Mus musculus: one gene and its partners. The protein of the gene in region 6 purifies or fractionates together with the protein of the main gene of each other region. This does not show direct contact. Links are inferred from orthologs where the notes say so. Each region holds a gene or a part of one and is shown on either strand. Other genes may lie near its edges.

The links.
Region 1: the proteins of Dhx9 (region 6) and Pabpn1 purify together in Homo sapiens (affinity purification with mass spectrometry; 4 studies listed by BioGRID and IntAct, with this or other methods). This does not show direct contact. The link is inferred for Mus musculus from reciprocal best matches to the Homo sapiens genes DHX9 and PABPN1.
Region 2: the proteins of Dhx9 (region 6) and Hnrnpa0 purify together in Homo sapiens (affinity purification with mass spectrometry; 3 studies listed by BioGRID and IntAct, with this or other methods). This does not show direct contact. The link is inferred for Mus musculus from reciprocal best matches to the Homo sapiens genes DHX9 and HNRNPA0.
Region 3: the proteins of Dhx9 (region 6) and Ewsr1 purify together in Homo sapiens (affinity purification with mass spectrometry; 3 studies listed by BioGRID, with this or other methods). This does not show direct contact. The link is inferred for Mus musculus from reciprocal best matches to the Homo sapiens genes DHX9 and EWSR1.
Region 4: the proteins of Dhx9 (region 6) and Elavl1 purify together in Homo sapiens (affinity purification with mass spectrometry; 3 studies listed by BioGRID and IntAct, with this or other methods). This does not show direct contact. The link is inferred for Mus musculus from reciprocal best matches to the Homo sapiens genes DHX9 and ELAVL1.
Region 5: the proteins of Dhx9 (region 6) and Ddx17 fractionate together in Homo sapiens (co-fractionation; 3 studies listed by BioGRID and IntAct, with this or other methods). This does not show direct contact. The link is inferred for Mus musculus from reciprocal best matches to the Homo sapiens genes DHX9 and DDX17.
Region 7: the proteins of Dhx9 (region 6) and Ncl purify together in Homo sapiens (affinity purification with western blotting; 3 studies listed by BioGRID, with this or other methods). This does not show direct contact. The link is inferred for Mus musculus from reciprocal best matches to the Homo sapiens genes DHX9 and NCL.

Annotation. Positions count from the first base shown.
Region 1 is NC_000080.6:54,892,675-54,897,140, forward strand, and holds the start of Pabpn1 (polyadenylate-binding protein 2), read left to right. Parts: upstream 1-1,468; 5' UTR 1,469-1,481; coding exon 1,482-1,820; intron 1,821-2,173; coding exon 2,174-2,288; intron 2,289-2,954; coding exon 2,955-3,022; intron 3,023-3,142; coding exon 3,143-3,249; intron 3,250-4,277; coding exon 4,278-4,365; intron 4,366-4,446; coding exon 4,447-4,466.
Region 2 is NC_000079.6:58,125,553-58,130,082, reverse strand, and holds Hnrnpa0 (heterogeneous nuclear ribonucleoprotein A0), read left to right. Parts: upstream 1-1,526; 5' UTR 1,527-1,769; coding exon 1,770-2,687; 3' UTR 2,688-4,204; downstream 4,205-4,530. UniProt on the Homo sapiens protein: mRNA-binding component of ribonucleosomes. Specifically binds AU-rich element (ARE)-containing mRNAs. Involved in post-transcriptional regulation of cytokines mRNAs.
Region 3 is NC_000077.6:5,068,907-5,072,400, reverse strand, and holds the end of Ewsr1 (RNA-binding protein EWS), read left to right. Parts: intron 1-758; coding exon 759-881; intron 882-1,242; coding exon 1,243-1,405; intron 1,406-1,677; coding exon 1,678-1,775; intron 1,776-1,920; coding exon 1,921-2,173; intron 2,174-2,279; coding exon of another isoform or gene 2,280-2,297; coding exon 2,298-2,337; 3' UTR 2,338-2,714; downstream 2,715-3,494. UniProt on the Homo sapiens protein: Binds to ssRNA containing the consensus sequence 5'-AGGUAA-3'. Might normally function as a transcriptional repressor. EWS-fusion-proteins (EFPS) may play a role in the tumorigenic process.
Region 4 is NC_000074.6:4,321,974-4,326,565, reverse strand, and holds the start of Elavl1 (ELAV-like protein 1), read left to right. Parts: upstream 1-1,465; 5' UTR 1,466-1,680; intron 1,681-3,733; exon of another isoform or gene 3,734-3,863; intron 3,864-4,592. Other genes in the region: Ccl25 (C-C motif chemokine 25), read right to left, coding at 1,155-1,184. UniProt on the Homo sapiens protein: RNA-binding protein that binds to the 3'-UTR region of mRNAs and increases their stability.
Region 5 is NC_000081.6:79,540,046-79,544,084, reverse strand, and holds part of Ddx17 (probable ATP-dependent RNA helicase DDX17), read left to right. Parts: intron 1-228; coding exon 229-379; intron 380-1,498; coding exon 1,499-1,598; intron 1,599-2,917; coding exon 2,918-3,051; intron 3,052-3,606; coding exon 3,607-3,672; intron 3,673-4,039. UniProt on the Homo sapiens protein: As an RNA helicase, unwinds RNA and alters RNA structures through ATP binding and hydrolysis.
Region 6 is NC_000067.6:153,470,562-153,474,600, reverse strand, and holds part of Dhx9 (ATP-dependent RNA helicase A), read left to right. Parts: intron 1-1,317; coding exon 1,318-1,454; intron 1,455-1,839; coding exon 1,840-1,929; intron 1,930-2,038; coding exon 2,039-2,200; intron 2,201-2,297; coding exon 2,298-2,375; intron 2,376-2,789; coding exon 2,790-2,981; intron 2,982-4,039. UniProt on the Homo sapiens protein: Multifunctional ATP-dependent nucleic acid helicase that unwinds DNA and RNA in a 3' to 5' direction and that plays important roles in many processes, such as DNA replication, transcriptional activation, post-transcriptional RNA regulation, mRNA translation and RNA-mediated gene silencing.
Region 7 is NC_000067.6:86,352,577-86,356,615, reverse strand, and holds part of Ncl (nucleolin), read left to right. Parts: coding exon 1-60; intron 61-158; coding exon 159-245; intron 246-288; exon of another isoform or gene 289-356; intron 357-422; coding exon 423-564; intron 565-1,471; coding exon 1,472-1,596; intron 1,597-2,760; coding exon 2,761-2,884; intron 2,885-3,335; coding exon 3,336-3,490; intron 3,491-3,982; coding exon 3,983-4,039. UniProt on the Homo sapiens protein: Nucleolin is the major nucleolar protein of growing eukaryotic cells. It is found associated with intranucleolar chromatin and pre-ribosomal particles. It induces chromatin decondensation by binding to histone H1.

The DNA of each region.
Region 1 (4,466 bases), on a different chromosome or scaffold from region 6:
AACTTCAGTTCAGATGGATCCGCAGCAAGAGTGCGACTCTGCTTCCAGCTCCCAAGCTTCTGAGGTAAGGCCTGCAACTGTGGGGTCAATCAGCTGTGCTTCCGACTTTGCTTTTGCCCCACTCCCCTGGTGCGACCAAGTTAGCCATTTTGATTGTGCTTGTATGAATCTATCCCTCAGACTTGTAGTTTGGTCTGTCTACAAAAAGTCCGTCCTCTTGCAGATTTAGCACTACTGTTCTTTAATTTTTATAAATGTGTGGAATTTCTTCTGGAGTGTGGGTATCATACTATCGTCTCCAGGGCCAGATCTCATGGTTATTTGAAGGTGCAGAGCTGTCTTGAGAATTTGCATGGAGAATTTCCCCCAGTGGTCTTCAAAGTGGTTTGGAAGCTAGGAAATTACACCTAGAAGTTGCAGTCACCCAATAATCACACAAATTTGCGGATAGAAATATAAACAGGACTTGGCCCCTTGTCTGCGGGCACTCTGCTTAGCTAGGAAGGAGCACAGAACGGTTAAGAGTGCAGTGGAAATAGGCCCACTTGTCTCAAGATAAAATGGGAAACCTGGTGGAAGGCATTCTCACTGAGGTGGTCTGGTTTAGGAGAAACTGCACATATGGGACTAAAGCTGTGAACCTCGGGTAAACCGGGGAAAGTGTGGAGACCATACTTGCAAACTAGCCCTAAGTAAGGAATTTTTGACACGTCAGCTGGCCAAGAAAAAGAGGGTGTTGTAATAAGTTAGGCAAGAAAACTGGCTGAATCTTAGTCTAAAACAATAACCTATGCAGAACAACGGGACACAACTCCTAGTGGGAGTGAGGTTTGCTGATCCTTACTTTTTTTTTATTTTTGAGGTTACTTTTCTATGTAGTGTTGACTGGCCTGGGAACTCATTCTGTAAGTAGTCTAGTTTTGAACTCACAGAAATCTACTTGCCTCCGCTTTCTGAGCGCTGGTATTAAAGGCGTACGCCACCACACTCCGCCTAGGAATTCCCTAGTTTTAAGCCAGGCCATCCTTTCGAGAGCAAGGTTCACCTGTCGCACAACGGGTGTCTGCCCGTCGAATCCCATAAGCCAATCGGCATCCAAGAATGGGCCACTTCGGTGAGGCGTTTGGAAGATTGGTCCTTTTCGCCTCACCAGTCAGAGGCCAATTGCGGAGCATCCTCCATGTTGTGGGCCCGCCCATGGGTGGAGGATGAACGGAAGGTCGTCACAGTGCGGGCGTATTGTTACCTAAGGACTCAACAGGAGGTGGGGTGTGTTGATTGACAGGCATATTTCACCTACCGGGTTTAGAGAATTTGGCACAGTGGCCCGCCTTAGAGGTGGGGCCTCGTTTGATTGCCAAGTAGAATTCCCCAATAGTATTCGAGCTCGGGGTAACGGGCAGGCTGACTGACTAATGAATCCTCGGCGTGGCCGGCTCAGTTCTCCAATCGCCGATCGGCGGGCCCCAGTCTGAGCGGCGATGGCGGCGGCGGCGGCGGCGGCAGCAGCAGCGGGGGCTGCGGGCGGTCGGGGCTCCGGGCCGGGGCGGCGGCGCCATCTTGTGCCCGGGGCCGGTGGGGAGGCCGGGGAGGGGGACCCGGGGGGCGCAGGGGACTACGGGAACGGCCTGGAGTCTGAGGAGCTGGAGCCTGGGGAGCTGCTGCCGGAGCCCGAGCCCGAAGAGGAGCCGCCCCGGCCCCGCGCCCCTCCGGGAGCTCCGGGTCCTGGGCCCGGCTCGGGAGCCCCCGGCAGTCAGGAGGAGGAGGAAGAGCCGGGACTGGTTGAGGCCGACCCCGGCGACGGCGCCATTGAGGACCCGGTGAGGGGAGGAGGGCGAGCGAGCGGGCCGGGTCATGGGAGGCCCAGAGCACGGACAGGAGGCAGGCAGGCGGGGGGTGGGGTTGGGCGGGGAATAACGTGGCTGGTGGCGGGCCGAGGCCGTTCGTGAGCGGCCTGGTGGGGCATCATGGGTGTCTAGGGTGGCTCTAGAGAAGGTAAATTGACTCTTTTCATTTTTTCTGCGTGTTTTTTTTAAATAATATTTTTTATTTCAATCACGACCCTCGCACGAGGCGAGGGAAATGGCCGAGCACGGCTGTGGCCGGGCCCAGACAAAATGTACGGCACAGCCCCTGCGTCTGGTTAACTGCATGCCCTGCTCATTCATTGTAGGAGCTAGAAGCGATCAAAGCTCGAGTCAGGGAGATGGAGGAAGAGGCTGAGAAGCTAAAGGAGCTACAAAACGAGGTAGAGAAGCAGATGAATATGAGTCCACCCCCAGGCAATGGTGAGTAGATCGCCTCATGCACGCACAGTCCGGATCTTTGGTTGATAGGGTAGTGGGGGAAGACTGCAGCGTGGCAGAAGCCGGGGACCTTGAATGAAGCTGCTCGTCTGAGCAATTTTTTCTGGGCAGGTGCTGTGGTCATAGTCCATTACGTGTTCTACTGACCTTTGTTAGACACAAGCCGTTTTGGTGAAGAGATAGTCTTGTGCCTTCCTTTGTCTCATTTATAAATGTGTTTCTCTTTGTTCTTAGTTTGTCTGTACCCTTCTTGGGGCGATTATCAGCTGGCATTTGACCTTCAAGTCTTAACACTTTTCAGTTGGAGACCCTTTAGTTAGGACTTAGGAACTGACTGGTGGCTGTAAGGGAGGGAGTTCTTTAAAAATGTTAGATTTCAGTCCATTCTGTTTTGTTTGCTTTGAGGCATTTCAGCTAAAGCTGAATAGAGACTCGACTTGAAAAACGTAAAATCTTAACACCGTTTTTTATGGTCTTTTAAGAGGTAGTTTCTCTAATGTATATTGAAACCTACTATGTGCTAAACACTGTTATAGGTAATTGGTATAGTAGAAGTATACCCAAAATTTAGCCTGCGGGTGGAAGTGTGTGTGTATTGATCGAGCAGAAGATGTGCTTGCCTAAGGTAATTTTTTTCCCCTCTAAAAGCTGGCCCAGTGATCATGTCTCTTGAGGAGAAGATGGAGGCTGATGCCCGCTCTATCTACGTTGGCAATGTATGTATCAAGGAATAGTCTGCTTTGGGTTTTGGGGGGGACTTTTGTTTCTTATTCCTTACTTTGTTATGTGTTCAAATTGGAGTTTCCCCAGTACTTGTCAAGTGTTCCTTTCCTTAGGTGGACTATGGTGCAACAGCAGAAGAGCTGGAAGCCCATTTTCATGGCTGTGGTTCAGTCAACCGTGTTACTATACTCTGTGACAAATTTAGTGGCCATCCCAAAGGGTAAGTAGGAGGATAAGTTGAGATCATTTTACTCACATTTTAAAAATACGTGAAAAATACATGAGCTCGGAATCGAACCTAGGACCTTGAACATGCTGATGTGTGCTGTCAATCTAGTCAAAAGAGTGTTAACTCGTTTTAAAGGTTCTTATATATGTGGTCGGTTGGTTTTGTTTTCAAGTCAGAGTTTCTCTGTTTAACCCTGGCTGTACTGGAATTACCTCTATAGACCAGGCTGGCCTTAAACTCAGAATTAAACTGGGATTAGACTTCAGGTTTATACCACCATGACTGGCCTAACTTGAGCTGGGCGTGGTGGTGCACGCCTTTAATCCCAGCACTTGGGAGACAGAGGCAGGGATTTCTGAGGCCAGCCTGGTCTACAAAGTGAGTTCCAGGACAGCCAGGGTTACACAGAGAAACCCTGTCTCAAAAAAACAACAAAACCAAAAAAAAACATTTCCCAAAGAATAGTAATTGCTTATTAAAACAAGTAGGTTTTGCCTGTTAAGTGTCTCTATATATCAGTAGTTGTATATTAAATGCCTTCAGAGACCAGGTAATAAACTAAAGACTGGGCAGGGGTGGGATTGTAAACTAGAAAGGGAGGGCAGCATTAGTCAGCACCAGCTGTTTGTGTATGGCTATATAGAAATCTGGGTCTTGTTGATTTAATTTTGGTGCTACTGGAGACTGAACCTTTGGACTTAGAATGTGTGCTAGGCAGGTCCTCTTACTGAGGCATGTCATACACTCACACCTTTTCAAACTTTTTATTGTGAAATGGGTTCTCTTAAGTGGCCCAGGTTGGTCTTAGCAGCTCTGTAGCTTGCACAGACCATGAACTTAGGTTCCCCTGTCTCAGCCTACTGAGAAGCTGGGATTATAAACTGTTCATTATACTCAATAATGTTTAGAAGTTTTTAAAATGTTAGCATACTATACTTCCAGTTAACTGTATTACAAGTTGGGTTTAACCTGTAAGCTCTTTGTAAAGTCTGATAAAATGGCCAGATTATTCTTTCCAGGTTTGCATATATAGAGTTCTCGGACAAAGAGTCAGTGAGGACGTCCCTGGCCTTAGATGAGTCCCTGTTCAGAGGAAGACAAATCAAGGTAAGCATAGTGCCCTGGCTATCCGTCCTGTACAGAGTCTCTGGCTTGACTCCAAGCCTTTGTGTTCTCTGTCCTTTTCAGGTGATTCCCAAACGAACCAA
Region 2 (4,530 bases), on a different chromosome or scaffold from region 6:
CTTTATGATCCTGTGTGCTATACTAAAGCAGTCGGAGAAGCAAGCCCTGTGAAGCTAGAAGCTAGCAAGCAGCACCCCTCCACAGCCTCTATCAGCTCTTGCCTCCAGGTTCCAGTCCTGTTTGAGTTCCTGTCCTGACTTCCTCCAGTGATGGACTATGATCTGGAAATGTAAACCAAATAAGGCCGTTCCTTCCCAGCTTGCCTTATTTCTACAACCCTAAGACACTGTAGAAATTGAGATCTTATCCGTGAACACTAAGCACAGTCCCTGACAGTTTTTTTTTAAAATCTAGTTATATGGATAAAGTTGGCAAAATGGCTGTTCATATTCACGAAGCTGGCAGCCCAGTAGAAGCTGCTGGCTGCAGGTCACAGGGGTGCACCAGATGAGGGAGATGAGAAGTAACGGGACAGAATGGGGATAGGACGTGTCGGGGGACACTGCTCCAACTCTAGTTAAGTCCCCTGGGTTTAATTCCCAAACCACAGTTGGGATGGCGGTGAGAAGGCAATAAAAATAGGAAATCTCATAGGGCATGCTTATAATCTAGTGCTTGGGAGTTCGAGGTCAGCCTGGCTCAAGGCTAGCAGTGTAAGGATGGGGCCGAATAAATCCTGCGTGGCTCGCAAGGAACATGTCCGCAGGAGCTCGCTGCTGAGTTCACAGGGCGGAGCATCGCCAGCGGCTACCGCAGGCCTGGCTCGGGCCTGGTCTGGGTTACCCGGTCTCAAGGGCTTTGGTGGTGTTCCCTCTCATGGGCTTGCTTCGGCGGGCAGAGTGGCACGGGGCAAGAGTCGCATTGGATTAATGGAGCCACCAGCCCACCGTAAACGGCCAATAACCGCCTTGGGGTCAGGCCGAGGCCCTCCATCTTTGTGCCGCCCCTAGGGGAGCCGACGCCGGGTGCGGGCCGGCCCCCAACAGTCAAGTTTTTAAAAAGTCCGCGCGGGGGCCACCCGGGCTGATCCGTTGGGAACGGCCAGAATTCCCGCGAGGACGAAGCGTGCGGGCGACAGAGGGTTCCGCACGGGAGGCGCCGGGCCAGTGCTCGAGAGGAGCGCGCCCGTCCCGCGGCAGCGGAAAACGGAAGTGGGTCTGAGGAGCAGCCGCTGATTGGCCGGCAGGTCACGTCCCTCAAGGGGCTGGCGCGAACGCCACTGCGGAGCTGGGCCTGGGCATCCGGCGAGGGGAGGGAGGGAGGGACGACTGCGGGAACAGCCGCGCGGTCGCCAGGAAACGCTCCACGGAGACGCGCGGAGGGCTCTGGCGGGCGGTCTCCCGGGCCCCGCGGCCCCGCGGCCCCGCGTCGAGTGCGAGCGCGGAGGCGGAAGGAGCGGCGGTCGCCGAGGAGCCCCAGGCCCGGACCGGGGTGGTGGGGAAACCGCGGAGGGCGGGGAGGCCGCGACCGAGAGCGGCGCTGCGGCGCGGTGGGCGGGACCAAGGCGAGCGGCCAGGCGATTGGCCGGCGTCCCGGCGTCGCTTGTGACGCACCGCGCGGGGAGGGTGCGCGCGCCTTCAGCGGCCTCTTTGTGTGGTGTCCCGATAGGGGAGCGGAGGTGGCGGCCGCGGCGGCCCCGGTCGGGTTCCAGCGTCCTCGGCTCGCCCTCGGGCCGGCAGCGCGCCCCTTCCCTCCCCCTCCCGCCCCTTCCCCGCCGGCGGTGGCGGCGGCGGCCGGGCCCGGGCTCGGACGAGGCCTCGGCGACCGCTAACGGGCGACGGCGACGCGGCGGAGCGCGCAGGGCGGGGGCAGGGCCCGGGCGGCCGACATGGAGAACTCGCAGCTCTGTAAGCTGTTCATCGGCGGCCTCAATGTGCAGACGAGTGAGTCGGGGCTGCGCGGCCACTTCGAGGCCTTCGGGACGCTGACGGACTGCGTGGTGGTGGTGAACCCCCAGACGAAGCGCTCCCGCTGCTTCGGCTTCGTGACCTACTCGAACGTGGAGGAGGCGGATGCCGCCATGGCCGCGTCGCCGCACGCGGTGGACGGCAACACGGTGGAGCTGAAGCGCGCCGTGTCGCGGGAGGATTCGGCGCGGCCCGGGGCGCACGCCAAGGTGAAGAAGCTGTTCGTGGGCGGCCTCAAGGGCGACGTGGCGGAGGGCGACCTGATCGAGCACTTCTCGCAGTTCGGCGCGGTGGAGAAGGCGGAGATCATTGCCGACAAGCAGTCGGGCAAGAAGCGCGGCTTCGGCTTCGTCTACTTCCAGAGCCACGACGCGGCCGACAAGGCCGCGGTGGTCAAGTTCCACCCGATCCAGGGCCACCGCGTGGAGGTGAAGAAGGCGGTGCCCAAGGAGGATATCCACGCGGGCGGCGGGGGTGCGCGGGCGGCCCGGGGCGGGCGCGGCGGAGGCCGGGGCCGCGGCGGCGGAGGCGGCGGCGGCGGCCGAGACCAGAACGGGCTGGCCAAGGGCGGCGGTGGCGGCGGCGGCGGCTACAACAGCTACGGCGGCTACGGGGGCTACGGCGCCTACGGGGGCGGTGGCGGCGGCGGCGGCTCATACGGCGGCAGCGACTACGGCAACGGCTTCGGCGGCTTCGGCAGCTACAGCCAGCACCAGTCCTCGTACGGGCCGATGAAGAGCGGCGGAGGCGGCGGCGGCGGCGGCAGCTGGGGCGGCCGCAGCAACAGTGGACCGTACAGAGGCGGCTACGGCGGCGGCTACGGCGGAGGCTCGTTCTAGAAGCCGGGTTCCGGATGCCGGCGGCGGGCGCGGCCATCGTCGCCCTCCGCGCCCGCCCCAGGTGCCCTCGGGGGAAGCCGCTCACCCTGGGGGGCACGACACCCCCCGCTTGCCTGCCCGTTACCCCCCCTGAAGGTGGACTCGGCCCCACACACACACATTTTTGTGTTACAGTCATTGATGGACTCTATTTTTTTATTATTACTTGGACCTTGGTCGTTTTTATACTAGCAAAAAAATGTCTTGTTTTAATTTGTGTTTTTTGGGGGGGCGGGTGGGCGGGCGGGAGTGAACTTGCTGATTCTGTAGCAACACCTGGGTGGGGGTTGGGCGGGAGGGTAGTTTACTTTGTTGTAAGGACTTGATACCTGGCTACAGCGTTTTCTATGAAACCTACTTGGATCCCATGCCTGGAATTTGGAAGCATATGTACAAAAATCATTTTTACGTTTTATTTTTAATAAATCATTGTGTTTGACCGTACATGTCTAACATTTTTTTTTTCCTAGGATCCACTCCTTACCGTTTTAAAGGATATTTTTGTTAGGTTTTGATGTGTACTTCGAGACGCTTAAAGGAGGTCTTGTGGGCTCTTTTTTTTTTTTTTTCCCCTTCCTGTTTGCCCAGTTAGTGATGTTGAATTTACCTTTTACAGACAAAATCTTTCTGAAGTGGTGGATGTGGCTGTTTAGTCCTGTGCATCCATCTCTTTGTAATAAGCGATTTGCTTATCATCTTGACATGGTTGGTTCTTTCTATGAGAATTTACTTCAAAACATGTACTGTGTAGTTTAAAAAAAATAGTTTGTGTTTAAAGCATGTGTTCTCATTCATATAAACTGTTTAAAACTTTTTTAGGTGACCTAGTTTCTTCCTTATTGGTTTGTCTGTAATGAATGGTTACAAATAAGGGTTCTATTTTACCCTAACACTAAATGAGTTTTTTTTAAATGTATTTTCAGAGCAGGTTTAAAAAAAGCGTTTCTTCCCTAAGTCTGAACTTTGTCCTCTTTTAAGTCCAACGGATGTAGCACCATCTGCTGGTAGAGTGGCAGTATAGCTGCAAGACGGTTGGTTAAGAAAAACCCAACTTACTTGTTCAGGACAATTTCATCAGATTTAGCAGTTTGCCATCAGAATTCTGCAGACTTGAAAGGTCCACATTTACTTGTAGCTGAGACGGGCTTCCCGGGAGTGTAGTTAACAGCCCGCATCAGTCACTTTTTCTACGTGAGATTTGAACATGTAAACTGCTATGCATAGCTTGGGCAGTAGCCCCAAACTGCTCCGGTAGCTACTGAAGCAGCTGTGTGTACTGGGGTTTTAGGTGCAAGTTGTAAAACAAAATATCTGTATTCTGCTTGGTTAACGTGTATTTGTAGCCCTTCATGCAATAGAATTCAAGTTGTTGTTTATAAAAAAAAAACAAAAACTGATAATAGAAGAAAATGCCTTCCTGGATAGAAACATAGAATAGCAACGTTTATGGATATCACAAATAAAGAATTCAATTCTTACATGATTGAGTGAGAGTATGTATAACCTGGTGGGTGGGCTCAGAGTACCTGCTATCTTACTGGGTTTGACGAGATGGTAAAAATTTGACTCGGATTTTGGAAGCCTAAAGCCTAATGGCATCAAGCTTTTCAGAAAAGATTTTTCTTTTTACCTTTTAAAATATTTTAATGTTGGAACCCCACATTTTAAGTTGTCACTGAATAATTCCTAAGATCTGATTCTTGCCAAAATATTGTAAGTACTAAGGTTCTTAAAGAGGTAAGAGGATTTATGTTTGGCTAGTTTGGTAAGTGTAGTGAGTGATAGCTGATGTTTGGGTCATGTA
Region 3 (3,494 bases), on a different chromosome or scaffold from region 6:
TACAAGTGCTCTACCACTGAGTTTTATCCCTGGGCCTTTGATGGTTTTTGCTTTTTTTGTTTGTTTGTTTTTTTGGTGTTTGGTTTTTGTTTGGTTGGTTTTGTTTTTTTGAGACAGGGTTTCTCTGTATAGCCCTGACTGTCCTGGAACTCACTCTGTAGACCAGGCTGGCCTCGAACTCAGAAATCCGCCTGCCTCTGCCTGGTTGCAGAGGTGCGCCACCACGCCCGGCTGATGTTTTTTAAGTAAAGATTTTATTATGTGGGCAGGCTGATTTTTAAACCTGACAGTCCTGCAAAATTCTAGAATTACAGGAATGTAGTTTAACATCTTTTATTCTCATCTCAGCAGTGAAGTTGTTTTGTTTGTTTCATTTTCTTTCTGCTTGTGTAAGAATCTCATGTAGTCCAGGCTGACTCAAACTCCATCTGTAGCTAGTACTGACCTTTGAGCTTCCTGATCCTCCAGTCTACTGCTGCTTCCCAAATGTGGAGATTATAGTCCTAGGCTAATTGGCTGCCATGCTCGGTTTTATGTGGTGCTGGGGATTGAACCCAAGCCTTTGGCCGTGTTAAACAAGCCTACCAACTGTGATACTTTCCCAGCCAGACCAGGAAAGAGCCTGGAGGTTGTGAGGGGCCAGGTTTCATGCTTCGGGAAGTCTGGAGTTGAGTAAGGTGGAGTCTGCTGAAAAGTGACTGCTCAGAGAGGGATGTTTGGAGTGTGAGGCTCACTGATGCTCTCTAATCTTTTTCCAGGGAAAGATTTTCAAGGAAGCAAACTTAAAGTGTCTCTTGCCCGAAAGAAGCCTCCAATGAACAGCATGCGGGGAGGCATGCCACCTCGTGAGGGCAGGGGGATGCCACCACCACTTCGTGGAGGTATTAGGCACTTTGTTTTAGCTATTGTGCTGTTATGTTAAACGGGGTTGGGTTGGGTTGGTTTTGGTTTTTTTCCCTTGAGAAACTTAGTTGAATAATAAACAAAGAAAAGGTATGTAAAATTGATACTAGGCCATTGAAAGCCAACACTGCATTAATAATATGGGTTAACTAGTTAGAGGGAGTGGAAGCTCTAGAGAACATCTGCCCAGATGTCAATTTCCTTCTATGAAAATGCCATAGTTGGAGGCTACATGAAATGACGCAGAAAGAATAGTGTGTGGATAGCACTGTGAGTTTACAGGAGAGGGCACCATGACAAAGCTGCTATAGAGAGGTGATGAACTGTTTGTTATTGCAGGTCCTGGTGGCCCAGGAGGCCCTGGAGGACCCATGGGTCGCATGGGAGGCCGTGGAGGAGACAGAGGGGGCTTCCCTCCAAGAGGGCCCCGAGGCTCCAGAGGAAACCCCTCTGGAGGAGGAAATGTCCAGCACCGAGCTGGAGACTGGCAGTGTCCCAATCCGTATGTACTTCTCCCAGCAGATTGCGTGCTAGTGATGACACCCTCTTCCCACTCTGGGACGGGACGGGACGGGACGGGACGGGACGGGGGGGGGGGGGGGGGGGGGGACACACACTCAGCACTGACTGCTTCTGGAGGTTCAGGACGGCCTGGGGTTGTCTGCAGGTCCTTGTGCTTTGTGCCTGAAACTCCATAACTGTGTAGAGTGTGGTGTGAATCTCCACCTTTCTCAGTTCTCTTGGTGATTTCTATTGTGATATAACTTTATTCAGGGGCTGTGGAAACCAGAACTTCGCTTGGAGAACAGAATGCAACCAGTGTAAGGCCCCTAAGCCCGAGGGCTTCCTCCCGCCACCCTTTCCACCTCCGGGTAGGTACAGGTTTTCTGGAGCACTTCAGCTTCCTGGTGATTGAGTAGTGTCTGCTCTAGGAGAAGGATTAGCAGATCTACCACAGCAGGTCTTCAGTCTCGGCTTTTACTCCTGACTCACCTGTCACTCTTGTCTCTGCCTTAGGTGGTGATCGTGGACGAGGTGGCCCTGGTGGCATGCGAGGAGGAAGAGGAGGACTCATGGACCGTGGTGGTCCTGGAGGAATGTTCAGAGGTGGCAGAGGTGGAGACAGAGGAGGCTTCCGAGGTGGCCGTGGAATGGACCGAGGTGGCTTTGGTGGAGGAAGACGAGGTGGTCCTGGGGGGCCTCCTGGACCTTTAATGGAACAGATGGGAGGAAGAAGAGGCGGACGTGGAGGACCTGGGAAAATGGATAAGTATGTGGTGGGAGAGCACTGCCCCTTCCCAACCTCTGCTGCAGTGAGTCCTGGGGTGTCTGGGGTCTCTCACAGGGTTTTCTGTCCTTTCTCATTTTGACCTAAGGGTCCCTTTGCTTTGCAGAGGCGAGCACCGTCAGGAACGCAGAGACCGGCCCTACTAGAGACCTGCAGAGCTGCATTGACGACCAGATTTATTTTTTAAACCAGAAAATGTTTTAAATTTATAATTCCATATTTATAATGTTGGCGACAACATTATGATTATTCCTTGTCTGTACTTTAGTATTTTCACCATTTGTGAAGAAACATTAAAACAAGTTAAATAGTAGTGTGCTGAGTTTTTTTTTGTTGTTGTTGTTTTTTGATTTGTTCTTTTTTTTTTCCTTTTTAAGATGGTTGTTTTAAGACTTAACAATGGGAACCCCTTGTGAGCATGCTCAGTATCATTGTGGAGAACCAAGAGGGCCTCTAATTGTAACAATGTTCATGGTTGTGATTTTTTTTTTTAAATAAAATTCCAAATGTTTATAAACTGTCATCCTCCTCCTCTGTTCTCGTGTATGTCCAGTTCTTTCCAGCCCTCGCTAGATGGGAGCAGAAGCTTGTGATGCCCTCGAAGATGCCCACTGGAAACCTGTGCTCGCATCTCCAGCTCTTGGCTTTACTGGGTCATTTGTTCCCTTCCAGAAGGCTCTGAGATGACTTATCATCATTCCAACTCCCACTATCTGAATTCACAGGATCGCCCTGTGCCTTTGCTGGGATAGCAGACCTGATCGTGTCCTCTGCAGTGCCAAGTGGTCACTCTAGTCCTTTGCTGCCTTCTTCCGGACTTCAAAATGGGGCTTTCCCACCCAGCTCATTTATTTATTTGGTCTTTTCGAGACAGAAACCTCTGTGTAGCCCTGGCTGTCCTGGAACTCACTCTGTAGGCCAGGCTGGCCTCGAACTCAGAGATCCGCCTGCCTCTGCCTCCCAATTGCTGGGATTAAAGGCATGAGCCACCACTGCCCAGTTTATTTTTTGTTTTTTAAGAGGGCTTTTCTTTGTAATCTCTGTTGTCCTGGAACTTGCTCTGTAGACCAGGTTAGCCTCACAGAGTGGGCCCACCCTGTGCTTTTAACTCAATTGGCACCCTTCTTCCAAGAGCTGCCTCTGCTTCAGTATGCCAGGAAGTAGGGCTTGGTTCTGTCACAGCAAGTAACTATTAATACCCCACACCAGCCTCCATCTTAGTTTATCTGTCCATTTCTAGTAATTATAAGGCTATGACCACCCACAAACGAACTTGACTCCCTTTCCCCATCCTTGCCGTTTT
Region 4 (4,592 bases), on a different chromosome or scaffold from region 6:
TTTTTACAAAGGACATCGCAGGCTATAAAGATGACTCAGCTGAACAGACATTGGTTGCTGAGTGTAAACCTGAGTTCAACCCCCATATCTCTTATGACGGAAGAACTGACGCCTCCAAGTAACCCTTTGACTCTCACATAGATGGTCACACAAACACATGCATATTATAATATATACATATTATACACATATACACAAACACCATCCTTTAAAAACACGTACATACATACAAACAAATACATACATAATATAAAAATTTTGAATATAACTTTTTTTCAAATCCTGTAGAACTACTTTTAAAAGGTTACCTACACGCAGCGGCTGTGTTGCAGGCCTGTAATCCTAGAACTTGGGAGATGAAAGCAAAAGGATCATTTCACTGACATCCTTCGTTACACAGAAAGTTTAAGGCCAACCTGGATCATATGAAACATCACCCTAAACCCCAGCAATCAGGAAACAGAGGCAGGCAGATCTCTATGAGGCAATGGTCAGCGTGATTTATAAGTTCCAAGCCAGGACTACTTAGGAAGATCCCGACTAAAAGAAAACAAACACGCTAAAAAACGGTGGACAGAGGTAGAGACAATAGAGAAGTTTTCAATCAAACAGGGTGGCATATACGTTTCTGATAGCACTAGTCCAGAACAGCAGCCTCCAAAAGGCACAGGCAGTTGTTTTTCTGGTCACTGCCCGACTGCCTGGCACATAGTAGGCATTTTAAATTTCGAAGGAAGTGGGGCTGGAAAGATGGCTCAGCAATTAAGATCACTGGCTGCTTTTACAGAAGACATGGGTTCAGTAGTCGGCTCCCAAACGCAGTTAACAATAGTCCCCCGGAGGATCCGACCTTCTCTCTGACTCCCATCTGCACTACACGCATATGGTGCACAGGGTTAACATACATGCAGGCTGAACACCCATGCATACACACTAAGAAAAATCTTAAAACCAAGAAATTTTAACTTTAGATTCCCAGAGGCTGACCATGCTGACCACATCCTTTAACCCGCTTCACCAGATAACAAAACTGAGGCCCGGCTCAGTGACGTCAGCCGGTGCTCAACTGCAGGCAGACCGGAAATGTCCGGGCCGGGATTCGAATCGGGGATCCTGTCCTCCTAGCGAGGGCTCCCGATGACCAACTTGCTTTCTCTGGACGTAAGCGGCTGCACAGCCCGCATTGTGAGGATCACACGACGTGCGTTCTATAAAGAGCGCCACTCTTTGGCCTCGACGTCCAGACGGCGTCCACTGCGGGCCAGGCTCCAACTCACCCTCTCCGCGGCCATCGCCAGCCACTTCGCGACTCCACTGGGCGCCTTGGTCCACCGCGGACGACGCCGACAGGAAGTCCCGCCTACGCCGCGCGCACCCGCGTACCGCGACAGCCATGCCAACCAATGAGCGTCGCTTCTTCAAAGACACTGACCAATAGCAGAGCGCGCTGAGCAGGGGGCGTGTCTGGGCCGCGGGGCCGGGGAGCGGGTCGTGCGCGCTGAGGAGGAGCCGCAGCCGTCGCCGTCGCCGTCGCCGTCGCCGTCGCCGTCGCCGCTACCGCTACCGCTACCGCTCTGCCGCCGCCGCCGCCGCCGCCACCGCTGCCGAGGCCGTGCGGAGCCGTTATCGCCGCGCCGCCCGCCCCGGAGCAGAGTCCCGGGCCTTCCCGCCCGTGTTCAGGTGAGGCCGGAGGCTTCGGCGACTTCCGAAAGAGTAGGCCGCGCTAGGGCCTGAGCTCGCCTAGCCCCACGGGCGTCCGCCGGGCCTGCACCGGCCGAAGGCCCCAGGCCGCGGTAGGCCTGGGTATGGAGACGCGCGTGTGGGCCGCGGCTGGGCGAATGGGAACCGACTCTGTTTGATTCAGGTTGGCGACAAGCCTCCGCCGGGCCAGATTCCTCTGGGCTCCCGCGAGAGAGGCGGGAGAAGGACACAGCGTGGGCACGCGCTTTGGGGGGCCGGGCTCCGAGGCTTGGGGGGCCCCGGATAGTTGATCTCGGAGGCCCGGTGATCCGGGGGTGGAAGAGTGGAGCGAGGACCTTGGGCGCCAGAGGTCATGGCCCACAGACTTGCTCCCTCGGGAAATCCCATAGATTTCTTTTGTGGACGATTTTCTGGACACACCGCGACGAATCATGAGGTCCTTTTAGAAGTGTGCAAACCTTTCGTCTGTGTGTAGAAGTCTAGAAGAGAAAGGGGAAATTTTTTCTTTGATCGCCATCTCTAACAAAGCTGTTTTAGGGACGTTTTCATTTGTAAAATAACGTGTAAATATTAAAAAGGCAATTGCACGCTGTTGAACAATGGGTAGTGATGATGGATCTTCCCTTTCTCTTGTCTTCTGCTGCTAAAGCATGCCAAAATGGGTTTGACGCCTACTATGTGGAGAGCAGGTGGAGAACTTTTTTGCACTAGACAGAGCTTCCATTATCGGAAGTGTCCATGTGGGACACCGCTGGCCAGAGCTCTAGAAGAGGCAAGATCGGATGTTAAAGCTTTCTTAACCTCCTTGTTACAGGCAGTTAGAGTCAGATAATGGTTGGTTGGGAGGGCCTGGCTGCCCTATGCATTGCAGAAAGTTGGATAGCATGCCTGGCTTCTTCTGCCTACTGAGTATTAGCATCTCTGCCTCCTACTTCTTCCAGTTGTGAGTACCAAAAACACATTGAGGCGTTGCTAGGGTTCTTTCTCTCGTTTTTTTCCCTCCACCAAAACACATACACAGAGAGGTGAGAAATCTTTAAGCAGTCTTCCTGGAAAAGTTCTTCCAGCCCTATCCGATGATCTGGGTGAAGCACCTAAGATCTTGAATAAGCCGTATTGAAATGCCTGTGAAATAGCATGGGGAAAGTATTGTGCAGATGTAAAGATGTGAGGAAACCCCCAGTACACATGGAATATGCAGTTAAAATAATCACCAGAATCTTTCAACAATGGACCATGTGTTCATACTTCACGGGCATGTCCCCAGCCCCTAAGGTAGATGTTACAGTATCCATTTTAGAGAAGAAAGTGAAACAGGATAATCTCTTGCACTGTAGTGGCCAATGCAGGGTTTGAAAGCAAGTCCTAGATACCGCCAACATATTGAATACTGGTGTATGCAAAACTGTTGAGGTCTGGTTTTGAAAATGGTGTGAGGCTGGAGAGGCGGCTCAGTGAACAGGAGCACTTGTTACTCTTGCAGAGGACCTGTGTTCAGTTCCTCGCACCTACATGATGGCTCACAGCCATCCATAACTCCAGTTCCAAAGGATCCCATTCCCTCTTCTGACTTTGCAGAACATCAAGCATACATGTGGTTCCCATACAAACAAAACACACATAAATCTAAAAATATTTTCTTAATGCTGTGACTTCAAGGAGTGTGAAGAAGCTGAGAGAAATAGGAAATGTTTCTGTTGAAGTGCTGGTTTGAGGGAAACAACTTCAGTTTGGCTGTGTTCAGGGATAGGTCCCTGGGCAGCAGTAGAAAGGGAGAGACTGAAGAACATACCCATTCCTGTGCTTACGCAGTGGCTTCTCACACCGCTTCTCTCCGTCCTTTGCACACCAGCAGGAGTTGACTTTTCGAAGATGCAGATCTATGTTTCTCCTGATTAAAAGAAGTCTTGGGGCATGAAAAGAAAAATTATGCTGGGCTGTTCAAATGGTTCTAAACATTAAAATCAGAAGCCCTTAGTTTGGGATGTCCCACTATGCGCTTTTCTGACCTTTCTGCTCTTTTCCTGGAAAGCTGTGTGGACCAGCTCAGAGCACAAACACCATTTGAAGCTGCCCCCAAATGCCAAGGCTTTTCCACTTCCTCCAGAATGATTGGTGTTCCCATCACCTTCAGTGTGTTCAAGCTGGTTAAATGCAGAATGGTGAGTGAGATGCAGTGCCGGCCTTTTGCCCCTAGGTGGCAGTAGTTCTATGGAGAAAGACCAACAAGAGGGAAGTAAGCCTTTTGTCCCCTTCCCCAAAGTTGTATTTCAGCCCAGAGGATCAGCTCTGGAGAGGCCATGGTGTATATGAACTATGTTTAGATGGTTTAGCCTGGCTGGTGAGCAGTAATGCACCAGGTGATGTGGAAGCACAGGAAAAGGAACTGTTATTCAAGCCCAGGAGACCCCAAAATGTTCCCTGAGTTGTTGAGGCAGGAGGACCTAGTGGAAATAGCTAGGTAAAAGATGAGTGGGAAAGACTCTTCAAGAACTTGGTGAGTGGAGTAGGTGGAGCTATTAACTCTGGAAAACATACGGGGTATGGAACTTTTGGAAACGTAGAAGGAAGTGAGTAGCAGGTCTGTTGGGAAGAAACCTCAGATATTATGAGGGCCCACTCCAGACTTATGATCATTGACAGAGGGAGTCACATTTGCAAAGGATGCGCTGACTGGCAGGCATAAAACCAGTTAGGATGTGACTGTGTTCCTTCAAGTTAGAAAAACTGCTAATATGACACAGAACAGAAGCTTAGAAACAAGGAAACACTGAAACACACTTAAGGAATTTGGACATGTGGAAGAACAACGATGGCCAACCCTGCCTAGTGTTTGAGTGCTGCAAAGATGAGTGGCCACAGAGAACTTGAGAAGAAAGGCAAAGCAGTTT
Region 5 (4,039 bases), on a different chromosome or scaffold from region 6:
TGGTCTTGCAGTTTAAAAGAGTACCACTTCTCTGCAAGAGCAGAGACCGTTAGTTTTTATTGTATCCAGAATCTCTAGTGCCAATTAAAACTATACTTAGTATAAAGTCGGTATCACTAACTTTGTCAGAGAGCTAAAATAGGTGGGAAACTGAGGTGGGAGGAATGCTGTTCCTTTCCTGTCACATGAGATGGATATTAACAAATCTACATTTTCTGGTGTCTCTAGGTTTGGAGCAAGAGGTGGTAGTGGGCTTCCCCCTAAGAAGTTTGGTAATCCTGGGGAGCGGTTACGAAAAAAGAAGTGGGATTTGAGTGAACTCCCTAAATTTGAGAAGAATTTTTATGTTGAGCATCCAGAAGTAGCAAGACTGACTCCGGTAAGAAAGGGGGGAGGGGGGAGTGTTTAAATATAGGGTAATATTTCAAGTATTGTTTTATATTTGATTTTATATTATGGCAGATCTTTTTAATGTGTTGTGGGTTTGCTTGTTTTGTTTTTTTGTGGGGGTATTTCTTTGTTTGTTTTCTGAGACAGGGTTTCTCTTGTGTGTTCCTTTGATGTCCTGGAACTCGCTTTGTAGACCAGGCTGGCCTCCAGCTCAGAGATCACTCTGCATCTGTCTCCTGAGTACTAGGACTAAAGAATTGCATCACCATGCCTTGCCTCTGTGTCTTTTGTAGGATGGAATTATTGTATTTGTAGAATAGTCCACTGTAGATCCAGGCTGGTCTTGAACTTGCTGTCCTGCTACTTTAGCTCCAGGCTGCAGGGGTCTTTGGGCAGCCACACTTGGTCAAACCCTGAGCTTTGTCCATGAAGACAGGTGCTCAGCCACATGACGCAGGTTTTCTTTTAGCAGCTCTGCTCTCCAGCCTAGCACCACATGCATGTAAAGTTTACACTGCCATTCACCTACGCTTATAGAACTGACTTCATATTGTGTATTTGTGTGCTTTTAACCAAACCACCTGGTGCTGTATTCTACCCAAGAATATTACTTACCGCTGGGCGTGGTGGCGCACGCCTTTAATCCCAGCACTCAGGATGCAGAGGCAGGCGGATTTCTGAGTTCGAGGCCAGCCTGGTCTACAAAGCGCGAATTCCAGGACAGCCAGGGCTACACAGAGAAACCCTGTCTTGAAAAACCAAAAAAAAAAAAAAAAAAAAGAAAAGAAAAAGAATATTACTTACCCAGAAAAAATGATATAATAGAGCAATTTGGCCCAAGTTCTGTCTCAATAGGTAACCCTGGCTGGTCTGGAACCTGTTTTGTAGCCCAGGTTAGGTTTGAACTTGAGGTAGGTTATCCTTCTAGCTGCTGTGCAGGGTGACAAAGTACCACCTAGCCTGGCTAGGAATTACTCTTGAGGGTTTTCTCCTCTTAGTCGTGTGCATCACAAACTTGGATTCATGCAAAAAGCATTAGCCTATATCACTGCAATACTAAAGAGTCTAAATTGAGAATTCTTATTGTCTTCATTCTTCTCTCACACAGTATGAGGTTGATGAGCTACGGCGTAAGAAAGAGATTACAGTGAGAGGGGGAGATGTTTGTCCAAAACCTGTCTTTGCCTTCCATCATGCTAACTTTCCACGTAAGTGCTGTTTAATCCTGTATTACGTAAGGTGCATAAAGGTTTTGAAAGGCTTAGGATTTTGTCTAAAAGACAAATAGAAACTTTTATATAGAAAGATAGTAGCCAGTTGGTGGTGGCAGTACATACATGCCTTAGATCCCAGCACTCAGGAGGCAGAGGCAGGCAGATTTCCCGAGTTCCAGGACAGCTAGGGCTACACAGAGAACGGAGTCTTTTTTTTTTTTTTTTAAAGAAGAAGAAGAGGGAGAAAAAGATAGTAATTTAGATGGAGCCAGTCAGGTGGGTAAGAGTGTTTGAACTACTTGAGTTCAAATTTTGGAAACCAAATAAACATGAAAAAAAGGACATAGATGGATACTGGCACACAACCAAGATAATAAAGTCCAAAAAACTTATTATTTTGTTTCTATTTTTTAAGATAAAAGACTCACTATGTAGATCAGACTGTCCTGGAGCTCAAAGATCTACCTGCCTCTGCACCCCAAGTGCTAGGATTAAAGTTGTGTGCCACCACACCTGGCTTTGAATAGTAATTTTCTATATTCCCAATGTTTTAGAATGGTGATTATTAGTATTGATAGATATCATGTTGCACAAATTTTTGTGTTTTAAAAGATTATTTCTATGGAGTGAGGTTCCTGCGGAGTTCAGAAGAAGGCATCATATTATCTGAAGTTGGAATTCCAGGCAGTTGGTAGATCTTGGGTTCTCTGCAGGAGCAGCAAGCACTCTATCTCCTCAGCCTCTGCTTTGTTTTTAATGCCAAAACTTTTACTAGTATTTTGCCCTAGCATTTTAAACTACAGCAGAACATTGCTTCTAGGATATAGTAGGAACTTTGGGAACAGTAAATGAGCCATGACCTGTTGTGTTAGGATAGTGTTGGGTAGTGTCAGGCTGGCCAGAGATTGGGTTTACAGTTCTCTGAGAATAATAAAGCAAATTAAGTCTTACCATCAGTAACTGCTACTTTTTAAGACTTCATATAGCGGGACGTGGTGGTGCACACCTTTAATCCCATCACTTGGGAGTCAGAGGCAGGTGGATCTCTGAGTTCGAGGCCAGCCTGGTCTACAGAGTAAGTTCCAGGACAGCCAGGGTTACACAGAGAAAACCTGTCTCGGGGGGGAAAAGAGAGAGAGAGAGAGAGAGAGAGAGAGAGAGAGAGAGAGAGAGAGGGAGAGGGAGAGGGAGAGGGAGAGGGAGAGGGAGAGGGAGAGAGAGAGAGAGAGAGACAGACAGACAGACAGACAGACTGACTTCATATGTACCCTTAGTTTACTAGTAAAGATAGTAATGTGTTCACTTTCTTACAGAGTATGTGATGGATGTGCTGATGGATCAGCACTTTACAGAACCCACTCCCATTCAGTGCCAGGGATTTCCTTTGGCTCTTAGTGGCAGGGATATGGTTGGCATTGCACAGACTGGCTCTGGGAAGACATTGGCGGTAGGTACCAAGTATTTGACATATAACTCCTTTTGTTGTCCTAGTTGACTTACATTTTCTCAGTTCTTGGGGGGTTTTGGTTGGTTGTTTTCTCCCGAGACAGGGTTTCTCTGTGTACTTCTGGCTGTTGCTCTGTAGACCAGGGTAGCCTTGAGCTCAGAACCACCTACCCCTGCCCCCTTCCAAGTGCTGGATTAAAGGCGTGCCACCATGCCTGCCTCACATTTCCTTAGTTCTTAAACTTGTAGTTAAAGCACTGTGAGCAAGCAGGGCATGGTGAGACCTACTTTTAATCCTAGCACTAGGGAGGCAGAGGCAGGTGCACTGCTCTCTGGAACCAGCTTGGTCTATGGAGTGAGTTCCAGGATGGCCAGAGAGTGCTACATAGTGAAACACTGTCTCCAAAGAAAAAAACAAAAAATTTCAGCCCTGGAGTATGGTAATTGTTCTATTTTCCCCTTTCCCATTAGGGCATTGTTAATGACTGACTAGCTTGTACCTGTTAGCCTAATGGCCTAGGTTTGTATGACATTGTTGATTCTCATTCCTCCCCAGTATTTGCTGCCTGCGATTGTTCATATAAACCACCAGCCATACTTGGAAAGAGGAGATGGTCCAATTGTAAGTGTGTTACCACTTGTAATTTTTCAGAATAGCCATTTTTAATGATGGTTGCATTTTATGCACTGTGCCCAAGTTAATTCTTTTTTTATGGGTCATCTCTCCAGACCCTGCCCTTATTCAGTTCTCACCACTTTTCTCCCTATGTAGAGGTGGTACTGGCCTGTCTTATTTGGAATTAAATGAATTGCCCAAAATTGTGCAGCAAAAAAATACGAATTTGAGGCATTCTTGCTCTTTTCTGTTTGTGATCTGGTTTATGTCCTGTGTGTGCTAGACAGTAATCCCACTGCTGAGCTCCATGTCTCTGAGCTGAACCCAGTCTGCCAACCAGTGTTTGCAGCAGATAGAAGTGCAGTTCTTTGTT
Region 6 (4,039 bases):
TTTAGAAGGACCTGAAATACATCTTTTCTATGAAGTAAACCCAAAGCTAAAAAGTGTGAGGACTGGTGGCTTGTTAGAGGAGTATTTGCATAATATTCTGGGGCCTGGGGTTGATCCCAAGTACCACATAAGCTAGGTAAGGAGGTGCAGACCTAGCACTGGGAGATGATGCAGAAGAATCAGAAAAGTCTGTCCAGAATGAGGGTAGCAATACAGAATATGTGAGACCCTCTCTGTAACAACAACCAAAAACAAAACAAAAAAAACCCACTTGTTGGAGGCTATTGCTGTGGTTACCTGAGACACACTCAACCAAACAGAAACCATGAGATCATTAACCCTGAGAAAACATAGAATAGATGATATCCATGTTAGATGATAGGCTTATATTCTTTTTATTGAACACTAAGATTAAGACCTATCAGGTATGTTAGGATACAATAGGCTCTGTACCTGTTTTACTGACAGACTTTAATTTGTACCATATATAACAGTGGCTCAATTCATTTGATCAGGAGAGTTAGAAGAAGGTTCTGAAATACTTTGTAAAGAATTCTGCAACTTAACAAAAATACTTATATTTAGTCTATGGAAAACTTTGCTGTATAATTTGTAGTCGGTAGTTTTCACTTGTTTTTTATTTTGAATCAGCTCCTCACCATGTAGCTCTGACTTGTGTAGAACTGACATTTTGTGTTCAGTCTGTTTTTACTTTGATACTTTAAAGCATACTGAAGTAGTTGTGACAGACTAATGGACTTGTAAGTAAGGCTTTTTTTATAAACCTTGCTCTCATTAAAAGTTGTTTTGGAACCCTGGGCTCACATAATCTTAAACTTCAGAGTTAATTAAGTAGAAATATCTTAAATCTAAGCAGTGACTGTATATTCAATTTTGTCTTATACTTGTTTTCAGTTTTTTAAATTAATTTAATGACATGCAAGTAATGAGAGTTTAGTGGCTAGAGAGATGGCACAGAGGTTAAGAGCCCACTGGATGCTCTTCAAGAGGTCCTGAGTTCAATTGCCAGCAACTACATGGTGGTGCACAACCATTTATAATGTGATCTGGTCCCCATTTCTTGGCCTACATGCATATATTCAGGGAGAATACTGCATACATAATCTTTTTTAAAATGTCAATATTGTGCCAGTCTTTATCAAAATGATTAGTTGTTAGGTTGTAGAATTTTCTTTGGTTAGTGAATAGAATGGGAAGGTCTGTGCTATAATTTATATTAATGGTTCTTTAGTACATAAATATCTAGTTGTTACGGTTCTTTACACAGCTCATTTCTGTCTTTGGTAATCTTTATAGGGATTTTCGCACGTGAACATGGATCTAATAAGAAATTAGCAGCACAGTCATGTGCCCTCTCACTTGTCCGACAGCTCTATCATCTTGGAGTGATTGAGGCTTACTCTGGGCTTACAAAGAAGAAAGAAGGAGAGAGAGTAAGTTCTTAGGCATAAATGTAGTATTTGGCTAAAGGAGTTGAATTTATAGTTTGAGGGATGAGTTGGAAGAGGGGCATTATTAGAATGGGGATGGAAATTAGGGTTTTTAAATGCCAGACAAATAATGTTTTTTTCTGAGCTATATTCTGAGCTCAGCACTTAGTGATGACGAAATTTAAATGCTGTACTAATCAGTATTCTGAACTCGTGCTTATAGTGGCCATTGAGTGAGTTGTTGATGAAATTCTCACTTAGAGTTGTTGGTTTCTGGCAATTAGTAATAATAGCCCTAATGTCAGCTATATGTTAATTTAGGTGAAATTATTAGTTTTAAATTATAATAGTGGATATATTGATGATTTTCTTTACTCATTCTTTGTAGGTGGAGCCTTACAAAGTTTTCCTTTCTCCAGATTTGGAGCTTCAGCTGCAAAATGTGGTTCAAGAGCTAGATCTTGAAATTGTGCCCCCAGTAAGCATATATACAGCTTTGTAGTTTACCTTGTTTTAGAGTCTTTCCTTAGGAGCATATCTCCTTTATTTATTTTTGCTTTTTTTGTTTGTTTGTTTGTTTTAAATAGCCTGTTGATCCTTCTATGCCAGTTATACTTAACATTGGGAAATTGGCTCATTTTGAACCATCTCAGAGACAAAATGCAGTGGGAGTGGTTCCTTGGTCACCTCCACAATCCAACTGGAATCCTTGGACAAGTAGCAACATTGATGAGGGACCCCTTGCTTATGTAAGTGCAATATGGGTTCTAAGATCAGTTCTTTATTTTCCTTTGCATCTTTCTTTAGGTCAGAGTTAAATAGATTTTGTTTGCTTTCTTTTTACAGGCTTCTACAGAACAAATAAGCATGGACCTTAAGAATGAATTAACATACCAGATGGAACAAGATCATAATTTACAAAGTGTGAGTGTTGAAGATCTTATACATAAATTGTCTAGAGCTTAAATACATTGTAGTTAGATTGAATGACAGGTTTGTACCAAATTGGTAATTATAGTTAGGATAGTGGCTATTCAGGACCTATGAGTGAATTGGACTACTTTCTTGGTTTTTCAGTATTAGGTGGTTTGAATACTTTTACAGCAAATGTAAAGTGATAACATTGTTTAACAAGTCATTACAAAATGGAAAATACTTTTATACTGTTTATGAAGGCTTAAGAATGAACTGGAGTATGAAGATCACATTTTATAGAAATTTTAGTGGGAATCAATTTTTATTAGAAAACGATGTTTTTATTCTTTGAAATACTTCAAGTACAGAAAGCAGTACTTTTTTATGGAAATGATTTAAATGACTTAAACTTTGCTGAACCAGGTGTTACAAGAGAGAGAGTTGCTGCCTGTGAAGAAATTTGAAGCTGAAATTCTGGAAGCCATTAGTTCAAATTCAGTTGTGATTATCCGAGGGGCTACTGGTTGTGGTAAAACCACACAAGTTCCACAGTACATTTTGGATGACTTTATCCAGAATGACAGAGCAGCCGAATGCAATATTGTTGTGACACAGGTAAGTCATTGTGTGAGTTTGTCTTGGAGTTTATAGAGTTCTAGCAATTGTTTGAGATTTTATGGTCAAGTAAGTTTTCAAGATTGTTAAAACGCAAACACACTCTCCTACCCACAACCCCTTGGGGATTTGACCTAAAAAGCCTTGAACATGCTGGACATACACCCTTAAGAATGAGTTGTAGCATTCACTTTTCTAAATTTCTTTTCCTTTTTATTTTAAGTTTATTTAATTTAAGTATGTGAATACACTGTCAACTATATTCAGACACAAGAGGGCATCTGACCCCGTTACACAGATGGTAGTGAGCCACCATTTATTTGGTTTCTGGGAATTGAACTCAGGCCTTCTGGAAGAACAGTCAATGCTCTTAACCGTGGAGCTATCTCCAACCCACTGTTTCTAATTTCAAAGGAAGATTTCATAAAATTGGCTATTCAAGTCCCATAAGAACTTTTTAAACTGCTCAGGATTAGGGGGTGGGGGCAGTAGTTACTAGGAGTATTGATTATCAAGTTAAACTGTTGGTTGTAACCCTGAACAAACCATTTATGACTTGGGAGTGTAATGAACCTTATTTTGTGTGCATTTACAAAGGGTATTTCTGCATTGGTAGTATATATCATGCACTTAGTTGCTTTATTTGTAAGTGCACACAAATTTGGATTTAGCAGGAAACTTGTAGGGCAGTGTTACTCTGCATTTAACTATGAATGCACATTTTATTTAAAGTATATTAACAGCTTAAAGTGTAAATAAAGCAGTCTTCATTCAGCCATCAAAATGGTATGTGGGAATTGTTTAGCAACACTTGAGTTCATCTTAGGCTTAGACTATGAAGTATAAATGTGGGCTTGCAGAAAGAACATTAGATAGCCAGACATGTTTTGCCTGTGAAAGAGAAGACATTAAATCCAAGAATGTAAAAGAGAACAACTTCTTTACAGTAAGATAAATGAATATTACGCCTACATTTCTGCATAAACACCTGTATGTGTGTGCAAGGTTGACATTCTTGAGCATGCTCACTTAGAGATTTATTTTAAAACATTCAAAAA
Region 7 (4,039 bases), about 67 Mb from region 6:
AGGATGAGGATGATGAGGAAGAGGATGACGAAGATGATGATGAGGAAGAAGAGGAGGAAGGTAACCATATTAACTTTTAAAGTATGCTGACCTAAGTAAGGCTTACTGGCTATGCTAAAGTGTCTGCTTACTCATGAATGGCATTTTAAAACATCTAGAACCTGTTAAAGCAGCACCTGGAAAACGGAAGAAGGAGATGACCAAGCAGAAAGAAGCCCCTGAAGCCAAGAAACAGAAAGTAGAAGGTAAGCCTGCAAAACTGGGGAAACAGATCAGAGTAGCACTAGCACAAGTGATGAGTGACAAAGGGACTTAATACTGAACCATGGGGTTGAAATGAAATATGCTGATGTGCTTTATAGTTTATGATGAAATTTGTTGTGTGCTTAAGTGGGCTGAAAGTTCATTTTTTGTGTGTGCAGGCTCAGAACCAACTACACCTTTCAATCTGTTCATTGGAAACCTTAATCCAAACAAGTCTGTTAATGAATTAAAATTTGCCATCAGTGAACTTTTTGCTAAAAATGATCTTGCTGTTGTGGATGTCAGAACTGGTACAAATAGGTAAGTTTTAATTGAATGTTACATGTGTATCAGCTAGAATTTTTACTTTCCAGTTGTATTCTTCCCTGCCTTTAAACATGGGGCTATATCTAACTATGTTAGTAAAAGTCAGTTGTCTCCTCTCGTGGCCTTAAGTACAGTTAAGGAGCTGCAGTAAGAAAGACTATAGTATTGAACTAAATCATCGAGTCATAGGGCCTGCAATTTGAAGTTCCTGTGTTTGACTTGATAAAGATAAAATAAAATTTAAAGAAGAAAAGATATTAAACACATAAAATTTTGTGCAGTATCTACAACTATGGATCTGCATAGTCATATGCTTTTAGCTAAAAGTATTCTCTGTACTTTTAGCGGGGTCCATGCTAGCTACTGCTGTTAGTTACAATATACTGAATGAAGAAATCGAGGTGAATTTGTTGTAATGTCTTGGTACATGGACTTGTTTTGTTTTTTGTTTTTTTTTCTTTAAGATTTGTTTATGTATATGAGCACACTGTAGCTGTCCAGATGGTTTTGAGCCTTCATGTGGTTGTTGGGAATTGAATTTTTAGGATCTCAGCTCGCTCTGCTCTCAGTCCTTGCTTGCTCTGGCCCAAAGATTTATTTGTTGTTATACATAAGTACACTGTAGCTGACTTAAGATGCATCAGAAGAGGGCATTAGGTCTCATTATGGGTGGTGGTGAGCCACCATGTGGTTGCTGGGATTTGAACTCAGGACCTTCAGAAGAGCAGTCAATGTGCTTACCCGCTGAGCCATCTCTCCAGCCTTTGGACTTGGTTTTATGGAAGATAAGGGTGATCTAGTTTTATTTTTGTTAGTGCTGTAGATGCTCTGTGTGTGTGCCACATGGTATAAGTGCAGATCACCTTCTCATACCTGTAATCTTGTTTTTTCCATCTTCAAGGAAATTTGGTTATGTGGACTTTGAGTCTGCTGAAGACCTAGAAAAGGCCTTGGAGCTCACTGGTTTAAAAGTGTTTGGCAATGAAATTAAACTAGAAAAACCAAAAGGAAGAGATAGTAAGAAAGGTATGTAAGGGGGTCTGGGTGACTGGATACTAACAGACTTAGGCAGTCTGGTGCCTCTTCCTTAGTTTCATCCTCATTGTGAACCAATGAGATGTCATAGGTCATGTGCTTGTTGACAGGTTTGATTCCTGGGATATATAATGTCAGGGCTGACAGGAGGAATAGCTTAGTGAGTAAAGATGCTTGCTGCAAAATGTTTGATCTCTAGAAGCCACATGAAGAGAGAAGAACCTTTAATCCCAGCATTTGGGAGACAGAGGCAGGCAGATTTCAGAGTTCGAGGCCAGCCTGGTCTACAGAGTGAGTTCCAGGACATCCAGGGCTACACAGAGAAACCCTGTCTCGGAAAAAAAGTTTTAGCTTATCCTCTGACCACATGTGTATCGTGACATGCTTGAAGCTTACGTATCTCTTAAATGAATTCTTGATCCCTATATTTTGAGTTTCAGAATTTGGATTTTAAGTGTTTGTTTCTTAGTTGTGCTGAAAATTGAACGTGGGCTTTTCACATGCTAGGCAAATTTGTTGGGTTTTTTTGTTTGTTTTTTTCTCAAGACAGGGTTTTTCTGTGTAGCCCTGGCTGTCCTGGAGACCAAGCTAGCCTTGAACTCAGAAATCTGCCTGCCTCCCAAGTGCTGGGATTAAAGGCGTGAGTCACCACTGCCCTGCTAGGCAATCACTCTTAAAACTGCTACATATCCTCTGTCCCCTTTTGCTCATTTTACAAGGTTGCTGTGTGCTCAATCTGCAGTCTATGTTATATGCTTACTGGATCTAGGCTTTTGATGTAGAATGAACCATATGAGTGATGAGGTATCTTAGAGATGGAAACTAAGTCTAAATAGACTTGTTCCATATACAACTTAATACATATGGTCTAAGGAACATGATATACATGTAAACAAGTAGGAAGGAGATAAGTCTGGTGTCCAGGGAAGCCAGGAGAGCCTCATCTGAAACTGGACAGGGGTTTGTGAGTCATCAGGTGACAATTGAACATGGGTACTCTTCATGCAAATGGTTAGTAACCATTGAGCCACCTCTCCATCCCTTTATACCATTTTTTTTTTTTAGCATATATCCTTGTACTTTATAGGAATTATTTGCTTTATTCTCTTGTGACTTGTAAATTGATGTACTTAATTAAATCTTTTTCCAACATAGTTCGAGCTGCAAGAACACTTCTAGCCAAAAACCTCTCTTTCAACATCACTGAGGATGAATTAAAGGAAGTGTTTGAAGACGCCATGGAGATCAGATTAGTCAGCCAGGATGGGAAAAGTAAAGGGTATGTTTTGTGTCTTTGAGTGTTAAAGTTTTATTAAGTTTAGTGTCTTCTTCCCCTCTCCTTGTCCTTGACAGTCTCTAGTCTGCTGCTTCAAACTTAACTTCATAACCAGAAAATTGAATATCTGGTCCTCTGGCCTCTACCTCCCAAGTTCTGACATTAAAAATGCTCAACTGATGGGTTTTGAAGCTGTGATCAATTTTACAGGCTCAATCCAAATTGGCATCTTTTGCCACAAGTACTATCCTTCCCTATTTTATGAGAGAAATGTGATTCTAGGCAGTTCAGTCTATTGTGTTGGCTCTTTTTCCTCCTCACCAGTTTAAAGGATGAAGATGAGCTAATACATAGTAAAAGAACAGTAAAAGCACATGTGACTAAGTCCTTCATGACTGATGCTTGAGTAATATTTTCTCTAACGTAGTAACTGAATTGTCTTGTACTCTTTCAGGATTGCTTATATTGAATTTAAGTCTGAAGCTGATGCAGAGAAAAATTTGGAAGAAAAGCAGGGGGCAGAAATTGATGGACGATCTGTTTCACTCTACTATACTGGAGAGAAAGGTCAAAGGCAAGAGAGAACTGGAAAGACCAGCACTTGGAGTGGTAAGTTAAAGGGTTTATTGTGTAGTGGGAACAGGAATCATTTGTATCTTTGTATTTTAAGTAATTGGTTACCTACAATTAGTTCACCTTTGTTCATATAGCTGATGTTTAGTCTTCATGAGTGAAAGCTATTTGAAATCATTTCCTTTGGAGTATAGTAGGCAAATAAAGCTTTTTGTTGGGTATGTTTTCTACTTTAAATGGCTTAAACTATTTTAGAAAATAGTGTAAGACAACAAAGAACAGTTATCTAATTAGAATGAAAATGAAAGGAGCAAAGAAGGCATTACTGTATATAATGGATATACACTGGTGGTTCTAGAATTATGGTATATGGTACATGGTTGAAGTGCCATTGTTTCAGTTAACATTCCAGTAACCTTGTGGATTAGGTTGGAGACATGCTTTATAGGTGACCCACTTACTGAGTGTTTAAATATACACAGACATACTCTAACATACCTTGCTAATGTGTTATCTTTGTATTTGCAGGTGAATCAAAGACTTTGGTTTTAAGTAACCTTTCCTACAGTGCAACAAAAGAAACTC